2 linked regions of the Cricetulus griseus genome follow. The protein of the gene in region 1 interacts with the protein of each later gene in a pairwise test. Links are inferred from orthologs where the notes say so. Each region holds a gene or a part of one and is shown in the gene's direction. Other genes may lie near its edges.

Region 1 (4,522 bases):
AGGGGAACAGGAGCTCACTCTCATCGTGAGCTCAGGCATTCACGTTCCACAGGAAGCTCCTGGTCCTCCACTCACACTGGGATGTTCTCTGTTCTCTGTTCTGGCTTCCCTAGGCTTCCTGTGTGCATACAGCAGATTTGGGCATTCTTGGTTCCCCAATTTCCCGAGACATTTCTCTACATTTCTATAGTCAGAGATTCCCTGCTATCCATTGGGGATATCCTAGGACTCCCCCAGGATGCCAGGATATGAGGGGTTAAATTCCTTATGTAAAAGAGTGTGACATTCGCATGTACCACATACACATTCTCCCCTATAATTATTTAGGGTTTAAGACAGTCTTACTGTATGGCCCAGGTTGGCTTCATATTCAAGATCCTCTTTTCCCTGCCTCCCGAGAGCTGGGATTACAAAACACCACACCTGGCTCTTCTTTATACTTTAAAGCTCCGCGAACTGATAATGTCTAGTGTGATAAGTATTATGTGAATTATTGTAATACTCAATTATTTAGGGTATAGTGACAGGGGGAAAAAACCTCTGTATAACAGGTGTAGTTTTATCTTGTTTTCCCACCTCTGGGACTATGAGGCTACTGATAGCTGATTATGTGCTACGGCATCTGCTTTTCTGGAGAAGCCTGAGCGATAAAACGACACTCATTGGCTACTTACAAAATTGTTGGACACCAGGCTCCTAAACTGAGCTCTGACTACATCCTGGGTGGAAAAGAGTCTCTTTTTTGTTCTCTGTGGTGTCTTCTCACAGGGCTTTGCCCTGAGCATTCCCGGAAGCATGTTCCACCTTTCTGTACCTCGTCATCTCTCATTTCTTTCTTCTCCCTTCTTCCAAGTTGTGGTACTTTTGGCTGTTTTGCTTTAAAAAAAATACAAACTTTAAAATCTTATTTTATATGTGTGAGAGTTTTGCCTGCTTATATATGTATGTGCACCACGTACATGCCTGAGGTTCAAGAGGGCGTTGGAGCTCGTGGACTGGAATCCAGAAGGGTTGTGAGGACCCAAAACCCATGTCCTCTTCAAGAGCAGCCAGCGCTTTCGACAGCTGAGCCGTTTCTCCAGCCCTTCTGTTTTGCTTTTCTTCGAGGCAGGGTTTCTTGTAAGCTCAGGCTGGCCAGCTCTCAAATGCTGATTATCACAGACTTGTTTGTGCTACCACGCCCAGCAATTAACTTCATTTTTGCACCAGGGCTTGTTTGGGTCTAACGGAAAAGGGCCTAAGAATTGAGGGCATTCACCTTTAATCGCACTCCGTGCCTCTCGGGAGTGGCTGGAACAGATTTGGATGCCAAGTCTCCAAACCAACCCAGCTGCAAATTTCCACACACCCTCACCCACCCGCCTTATCCCCGGGCCAGGCCACCCCCACCCGGGCAATGACGTCTATTTGCAGACACTGTAGCCAAAGGAAGCGTTGGCTCGACGACGATTTGCTATTGGCTGGGAGGGTGGCGCGGCAGCCAATGGCTGGCAGCGGTGTTTACAGCGCGGCTTGGGTGATGTAATGGAATCCTGGCTGGCCCGGCGGGCTCCCAGCGGACAGCGTGGTGACGTAGCGGCTTCCCCGGCCGCGCCCGGCTCGCCTGGCCTGGTGCGGACGGATGGGGGGCATGGCCTTACCCCGGCTAGGCGCTGCCACGGGGACCGCCACGTTCCTTCCGGCTCGGTGTTCCGGTAGCGGGTCCCGGGGAGGAGGGCTCGGACCAGATCCGGTCTCGGGCGAGGTGACAAATCTGGAACCTGACACCGGAGGATGACCGAGCTCCTGCTCCTCTGGTAGTGCAATTACGGACTTCTCACGTTGTCAGTTATGCAGCTCTGCAACCTTTGCTTGACGGGAGGGAGTTTGATTTTGAAACTCCTAAGGTTGCAGAGGATTCTGGTGTGTTTTTAATCAAGAGCCCTGGCTTTGATTTGTGGGAAATCTTGCGTTAACTTCCTCCATTTCCGGCCTGGTGACCTGGGCCACTTTCTCATGTTGGCCCAGATGATACTCAGTGGCAACAACAACAACAACAAAAGGACAACAAATGTGGAAACACTTGATGAAGCGCCTGAAAGGAAGATGCTCTTTGGTCCCATCCTATTCCAGTGCTACTGCTTCTTTTTTTACGGCTTTTTAAAAAAATATTTTACTTTATTTTTTGTTTTGTTTTTCGACACAGGGTTTCACTGTGTAGCCCTGGCTGTCCTGAAACTCACTCTGTAGATAAGGCTGGCCTTTTACTCACAGAGATCTGCCTGCCAGTGGTCTTCTTGAACCCAGGGATAGCCCCTGGGAAACCCTCTCTATGTGTCCCCATTTTTTTTTTTTTTTTTTTGTCCTTGAGTGTATGCTTAAACCTGGGAAGAGGTGGGGGCACCCCAGCCAAGTAGTTCTTGATCCTAAGGCTGAGGAAGGGCCCTGTAAAGGGAAATCCCCTTTCCAGTCCCTGGCGAATTCTGGGTGAGACCTAGGCAGGGGAGTCCCTTTTGGGCCCAGCAGATTAGTTAACCCCTCTACATCCTCTCCATCAGGCAGGGAGGAAGTGAGGTGCTGACTCCCCAGCTCTGGGCAGCTGAATCCAGGCCATCAGATGTGGTAGATGGCCTTGTTCCTTGTGGCTCACCATGGCTTATTGTTTTTCCACCCTTGGGACTGTCATCCTATCCCTGTCTCATACCTTGAAATTTGTGACAGCCTAACCTCCATGGGGTGGTTCTTTCTCCATTTCTATTCTGTCTTTTTCATACTGTACCCCACATTCTCTTCCTCCAGGGTGGCCCTGGGATTGAGCCCCTACTCACTCCTTAGCGCCATGTCATCTGGAGCTCCTACCTATACTGTACAGTAGAATCAGCTCTTGGTTGCAGGGCTTTGCCTTCCTGTCTTGGGAACTCTCTAGAATGTAGGTCAGTACTGGTGAAGACTGTGCTCGTCCTTACCTGCTCCAGGAGGTCAAACCTTACAAACCAGTGAGTGGTCCACCTGCTTCTTGGCTCTCCAGTCTACAGGAGCAGCTGGGAAATGGCAGAAAGGCGATGGCAAGAATGAGGGACACCACGGTGAGTAGAGAGTACTCTCTGAGAATTAGAAAACCAGGCTGTGGTGGGCTGCGTGGCCACTGACTAGCTGAGGAAGGCAGTTAAAGGAACCACAGTGGGGCTGTTTGTGGGGTATCTATTATAACAGTAAGAGGTCACATTGCCCTTTCCCTCAAATAAACATCAACTGGATTGAGTTAGGCCAGGCACTTTGCAGGAACAGCTCCAAGGCAAGAATCATAGACCTGGCTTTTCCTCAGGTCTCCCTGAATGGAAATGGTAGATTTGTCACTGCCTGCTACCTTCATGTCTGCTATCAAAGGCACTGTCTTCATGATGGTGCTATGGAGCAGGTATGTTACCATGCTTGTGTCTCCAAGGAGGAAACAGGAGCTCAGAGCAGGCTAGTCACTCCTTTGAAGTCCCACATCTGGAGAAAGCTGGAAGCTGGTGGGCCAGAGAGTCCTGCTCCTGAGGAAGAGCAAGGAGAGCTAAGTCTGAGTGCCTTTTGTGTCCAGGGGGTACCCTCCGTGTCCAGGGAGTACCCTCCGTGTCCAGGGGGTACCCCTCCATGTCCAGGGGGTACTATTTGTATCCAGAGGGTGCCCTCTTTGTCCAAGGTTCCTCCATAGCTGTTCATCTCTTAGCGACCTGTGTGTCTATCACATGCCAATTGGATCTTATCCACCTCTGCCATCTCAGCCAGTCTCTTCAAGCTGTCCAAGAGTGTTAGCATTTCACATTTTTCTATCTGCTTTATTTCATTATTATAATAGAGTAGATAATTGAGGCAGGTTGGGGTAGGAGTATTTATAGAGAGACTGCTGTGGGCTGGAAGCCTCCATGGAAAAACTGCTAACAGCATTTTTTTTTCCATTCCTGTCTGAATAAATGTATTTCTCCTACACTGGCAAATATTTTAGAATGTATTTTCAAAAAGACTTGTGGAAAAATAAAAAGAGGGAGCAGAGGATCGCCTTCTTTCCAAAGCTGCTGGAAAAGAGCTGCTAGGGCGGGGGGAAGTCAGCCTGAGGCCCCCTCATTCCTGGCCACTGTTGTGCCTTGGTTCCTTTGTCTACAAATGGATATACTGTTGAGTATGGGAAAGAACAGAACTGATTCTGGGATTTTGAGGTAAACCACAGATTCTAGGGTTGGCTAGAAGCAGGAGAAAAAGGGGCTGTGGGGTTGCCAGAGAGTAGGGCCTGTCAAGAAGGATTTCAGGCAGGGGGAGAGAAGATTGTGACTATGGGAGTGAGCTCTGGAGTTTGGGAGCCTCCTGAGGAAACCTCTGAATGCAGAAGGGATTCTTGACCACGTGGTTCCTGGTTGGCAGCTTGTAGAATGGGCACAAAGCAGGATCCTTCAGGATGGATTCTCACTCCCAAATGGGTCCCCCTAGTCACCACCCATTTAAGCAGGGACAGAGACACAAAGCCACCCCTTGGCTACCCTTGGGTTGGCCTTTTTGGCCTGAG
Region 2 (4,380 bases), on another chromosome or scaffold:
GAGACTGAGCTCTGCTGCATCCCTACCCCGGCACCACATTGGATTTTACAACATACACACTTAACACACCAAACTGGCTGTTCGCCCTCTAATTCCTGCTATAAGAGAAGGGACATACTGCTTTCCAGATTAGACGATTATCTCTAAGTGCTCACCAAACTGAAAAAAAGGTTAGATCTAGAGAGGGAAATCATGGAACTACATTAATAGATCACACTGCGGTGAAAAGGATATTGGACTAATAGAGTAATATAATGCATGTCAACTGTGCTTTGGGAATTTATGGTGTGAAAGGATTAATGGGTCAAATGTGTGTAGAGGAAGGGAGACCAGACACAGTAATGGTCCATAATCAAAAAATTTGTAATAAAGGGGGCTGGAGAGATGGCTCAGTAGTTAAGAATGCCAGCTGCTCTCTCAGAGGACAAGAGCCCTCATGGCAGCTCACAACTGTCTGTTCCAGGGGAATCCTTCGAAGCCATCTTCTAGACTCTATGCACTCCAGGCACACAAGCAATGCACACACACACACAGACAAAACAACCATTAAAGTAAAATAAAATGGCAGGTGGATTTCTGAGTTCGAGGCCAGCCTGGTCTGCAAAGTGAGTTCCAGGACACCCAGAACTGTTACATAGAGAAACCCTCTCTCGAAAAACCAAAATAATAACAATAATAATAATTCATAATATTTTTTAAAGATGTGAATAGAAGGAGAAGCAGGGCCTAACATTGGGTTGTGGTTAGTGCATGAAGGGCAGCAGTAGTGCCTCAGCAAGCTGACCGTGATGTCACAATTCAGTGTTTGTTAAGCTAAAGTGGAGGGACTGCTCTAGGCGCTGGGGCAGTCACTAAATGGTGGCAGGGCATGCAGCAGTGTATCATGGGTAGGAGAGGCAACAACAGCGGGAGAGGGGTAGGTGGGTAAAGGGGGAATGGTGCTTTTACACTGTGCTAGGAGGGGTTTCTTAGAACTTTTCAGGTCTTGACAGGAAAATAAGGTAATGACTACATGCCACGTTATATTCATCACACTGTACCCTAAGTGCACACAAGTATGATCTCTCAAAACCAACAATAAAATGTATGAAGGTGACTTTAATCAGAAATATAAATTGCAGCCAGGCATTGGTGGCGCACGCCTTTAATCCCAGCACTCGGGATGCAGAGGCAGGTGGATCTCTGAGTTCGAGACCAGCCTGGTCTACAGAGCGAGTTCCAGGACAGCCAGAGCTACACAGGGAAGCCCTGTCCTTCACAGGCACATAGGTTGCTGTGAACTTCTGAAGAAATGGAGTGAGGGGGTAGGGAAGCTCTGTTACAGAGATGGACATGGAAGCACATCTGCAAGAACTTGGGTCGCCAGAGCTCTGGAGACCAGTCCCCGCCTACCCTTGGAAGCTGCTTTCTACAATTTAGGAAAACACTTCAGCTTGGCCCACTCTATGACGCAGGCGCACAAGCTCATTGGGGGAGGGGCGGGGCCTGCGCCCACGTGGCGGGGGGCGGAGTGGGGCGGAGCAAGTCTCGCGAGGCCGCGCCCTGGTTCGCGTGGTCTCCAGCGCGCCGTTTTAGCCTTCTGGCGGCAGGGGACTCCGCGCTTTCGCTGAGGGACGTGTTTGCGCGCTCGCTCAGTCATGGAGGCGCGGTCCAAGCTGCTGGACGCGACGACTCAGTCCCGTCGCTGGACCCAAAAGCTGGTGCTGATCCTTCCGCCGCTGCTGCTGTTCCTGCTGCGGACCGAAGCTCTGCAGGGTTTGGAGAGTGAGGATCGGTTCCGGACCCGCGAAAACGAGTGCCACTTCTATGCTGGTGGACAAGTGTACCCGGGAGAGGTGTCCCGGCTTTCAGCCGCAGATCACTCCCTGCATCTAAGCAAAGCCAAGAGTAGGTGGTGCTCTGCGAAGGTTGGGTGGATGGGGGCAGAACTCGGGGATACTTAGACCCTTATTGTGGATGCTACGAAAGGGTGGGGCTGGAGTTGGGCCGCTCCCCCAAGGCTGAGCTCTGGGTCCACCCCGTTGCCTTTGTGGGTGTGAGGATGGAGGTGGGTTCCTGGTGTGAAGAAAGAGTTTCCTCTGGTCAGATTTCGGGAGAGGTAGCGGTTACCCCTAAAGCCGCAAATGGGGGTGTTCCTAGTCCCAGGCTTGCAGACATGAAGGATGTTGTGAAAACTAAAAGACTTCCTTAAATACCCGAAAATGCTTGCAGCAGTCCTGTCTTTTTCAGGGAAGAAAGTACACTGATAAGTTGAATAATGATTCACAGAAAGTTTGATTAAACAGAGAGGTGGTTAAACAAATATTGAGAAGGTCAAACTTTTTTTTCATACCATACAAAGATTCTTAGTGAAGTCATCTCCCCCAAATTTGTAGAGTTAGTGACTATCGAAGGTTCAAAAAAATGAAGACTTTATTAGAGTATTTTGGAGGGAAACTGGGATAGGAAGTCGAAGTAGCACAATTGGACTGATGGGTAAATCCTGTGTACTGTTTATTGGGTTTTTTCATTATTTGTCTTTCTGTCCAGTGTTTGAAGCTAGTGGACACGTCAGACTAAGTAGACAGTGAGAAAATTGCGGCCTGCTGCATATGGATATTAAGATTGCCAAATAGAAGTGACCAGGACATCCAGACAAAGCCTGTGTCTTAGTTGCTTTTCCCTAACCCACTTTTCTTAGGGATTATTTGACATTCTGTGGGTGTATGTTTGAATTTTGGTTGTTGCAGCACATTATGTTCTGGTATTCGGTGAAAAAAAATAGTCATACTTGACAATTTGAGGTCTGCTTTTTGAGCATAGGGTCTGGACAGATGTGATAGAATGGCTTCAAACACTATGGTCCTCCTACTTCAGCTTGCAGAGATCTGGGGTTACAAATGTGCCCCACCACAGTTGGCTACTTCACAGTTATGAACCTCCAGAGATAATGGGATGTCACTACCACATGCAATGAATGACAAAGGCTGTTTTGCCTCCTTAAGCATTTGTGGTTTCATAGTACCAGATAACTACTTTGGGATTGTTTTTAGAAAGCCAGTTTTGCTTTAAAACAGTAATATTTCCAAGTCCCATTGATTTCACTTGACTGAGGAAGACAGTCTGAAATGTGTTTACTCAAATATACTTCCTGCTGGAAACAAAGCCATTCCAAAGCTGTATTTGGAAGTAAAGAAAAACTAGTAGGTATAGTAGCTTTCTGTTTACCAAAAACCTTTCAATTTTTATATAATTTTTACATGTTTTTGTCATATACAGACTTACCTAGAATTAAAGGGGGTATTTTAGAGCAATTAAGTCTATATTTTCAAATCATTTTAACTACATTTTCAATGACGGAAAAGATGAGGATGCAACATGATCCAGATATGTGTTTGGAAAAAGTAGGAAAGGTCAAAATGTTAACAATAGTAAAACCAATGATAGACAGAGGGTTTAAGTTGTCTTCATTATTCTTCTCTGTGTTTACCAGAACCCTTATGCTAATGCATATTTAAGACAGTGTTGTTTGTTTTTTGAGACAAGGTTTTCTATGTAGCCCTGGCTGTCCTGGAACTCACTATGTAGACCACCAGGCTGGCTTCGAACTCACAGAGAACCACCTGCCTCTGCCTCCTGAATGCTGGGATTAAAGGTGTGTATCACTATGTTTTTTGTTTGTTTTGTTTTTAATAGATACAGAGGGTTTTTTAAGGAATTTTTTATTTAAAAATCTTAGCAAAGTAACTGCAGTTAATATCAAACCATAAATTTGCAAATATCAATTTTCAGAACAAGATTTATTTCCCTGACATGGTTTTCTGTATATGTAAAATCCTTAAGGAGTGTTGTAACAGATCATTACAATTATTATTATCTCTTTCTTATTTCAGCATTTGAAGTGATGACTATAAAATATACAGACTTTAGCACGTTTCTTATATTCTTTTCTGGCCCTCCTTAATAAGATCAGGATTGTTTATATTAGGTAGTTCTGACTCAGGGTAAGAAATCACATGTTATATATAAACTTCACAAAGAAATTCATCCTCAGTTTGTCTCTGTAGAGCAACTGTTAGTGCTGGCTTTTACACAAAAATATAAGGCTTAATTCTAGAAACTTTAGTTCAACTTGGAAGCAAGTATTTGTAATGGTTTTGAAAGTGTTATTTGAATGTGTCAACAGCATGAAGGAACATTATTATCAAAGGGTGCTAGCTAGAGTTACAGCATGCCTTTATAGGACAGCAGCACGATTGAATGTGCATCGGGTCATTTGAAACCAGTTCAAAGGGGTTGGGGAATTTCCTTTTTCAAAACCTTCTAGGAAAACTATCCCATGATCTGGGATAACTTGAAGGGGCTGTGATGAAATAGCCAGTGGTGTTTAGTACAAGAATA

The links.
Region 2: the proteins of Nr4a1 (region 1) and Prdx4 interact in a two-hybrid assay, tested with the Homo sapiens proteins (2 studies listed by BioGRID and IntAct). The link is inferred for Cricetulus griseus from reciprocal best matches to the Homo sapiens genes NR4A1 and PRDX4.

What each region holds. Positions count from the first base shown.
Region 1 is NC_048595.1:397,684,986-397,689,507, forward strand, and holds the start of Nr4a1 (nuclear receptor subfamily 4 group A member 1), read left to right. Parts: upstream 1-1,684; 5' UTR 1,685-1,796; intron 1,797-1,934; exon of another isoform or gene 1,935-2,778; 5' UTR 2,779-3,065; intron 3,066-4,522. UniProt on the Homo sapiens protein: Orphan nuclear receptor. Binds the NGFI-B response element (NBRE) 5'-AAAGGTCA-3'. Binds 9-cis-retinoic acid outside of its ligand-binding (NR LBD) domain.
Region 2 is NC_048604.1:90,798,866-90,803,245, reverse strand, and holds the start of Prdx4 (peroxiredoxin-4), read left to right. Parts: upstream 1-1,545; 5' UTR 1,546-1,637; coding exon 1,638-1,887; intron 1,888-4,380. UniProt on the Homo sapiens protein: Thiol-specific peroxidase that catalyzes the reduction of hydrogen peroxide and organic hydroperoxides to water and alcohols, respectively.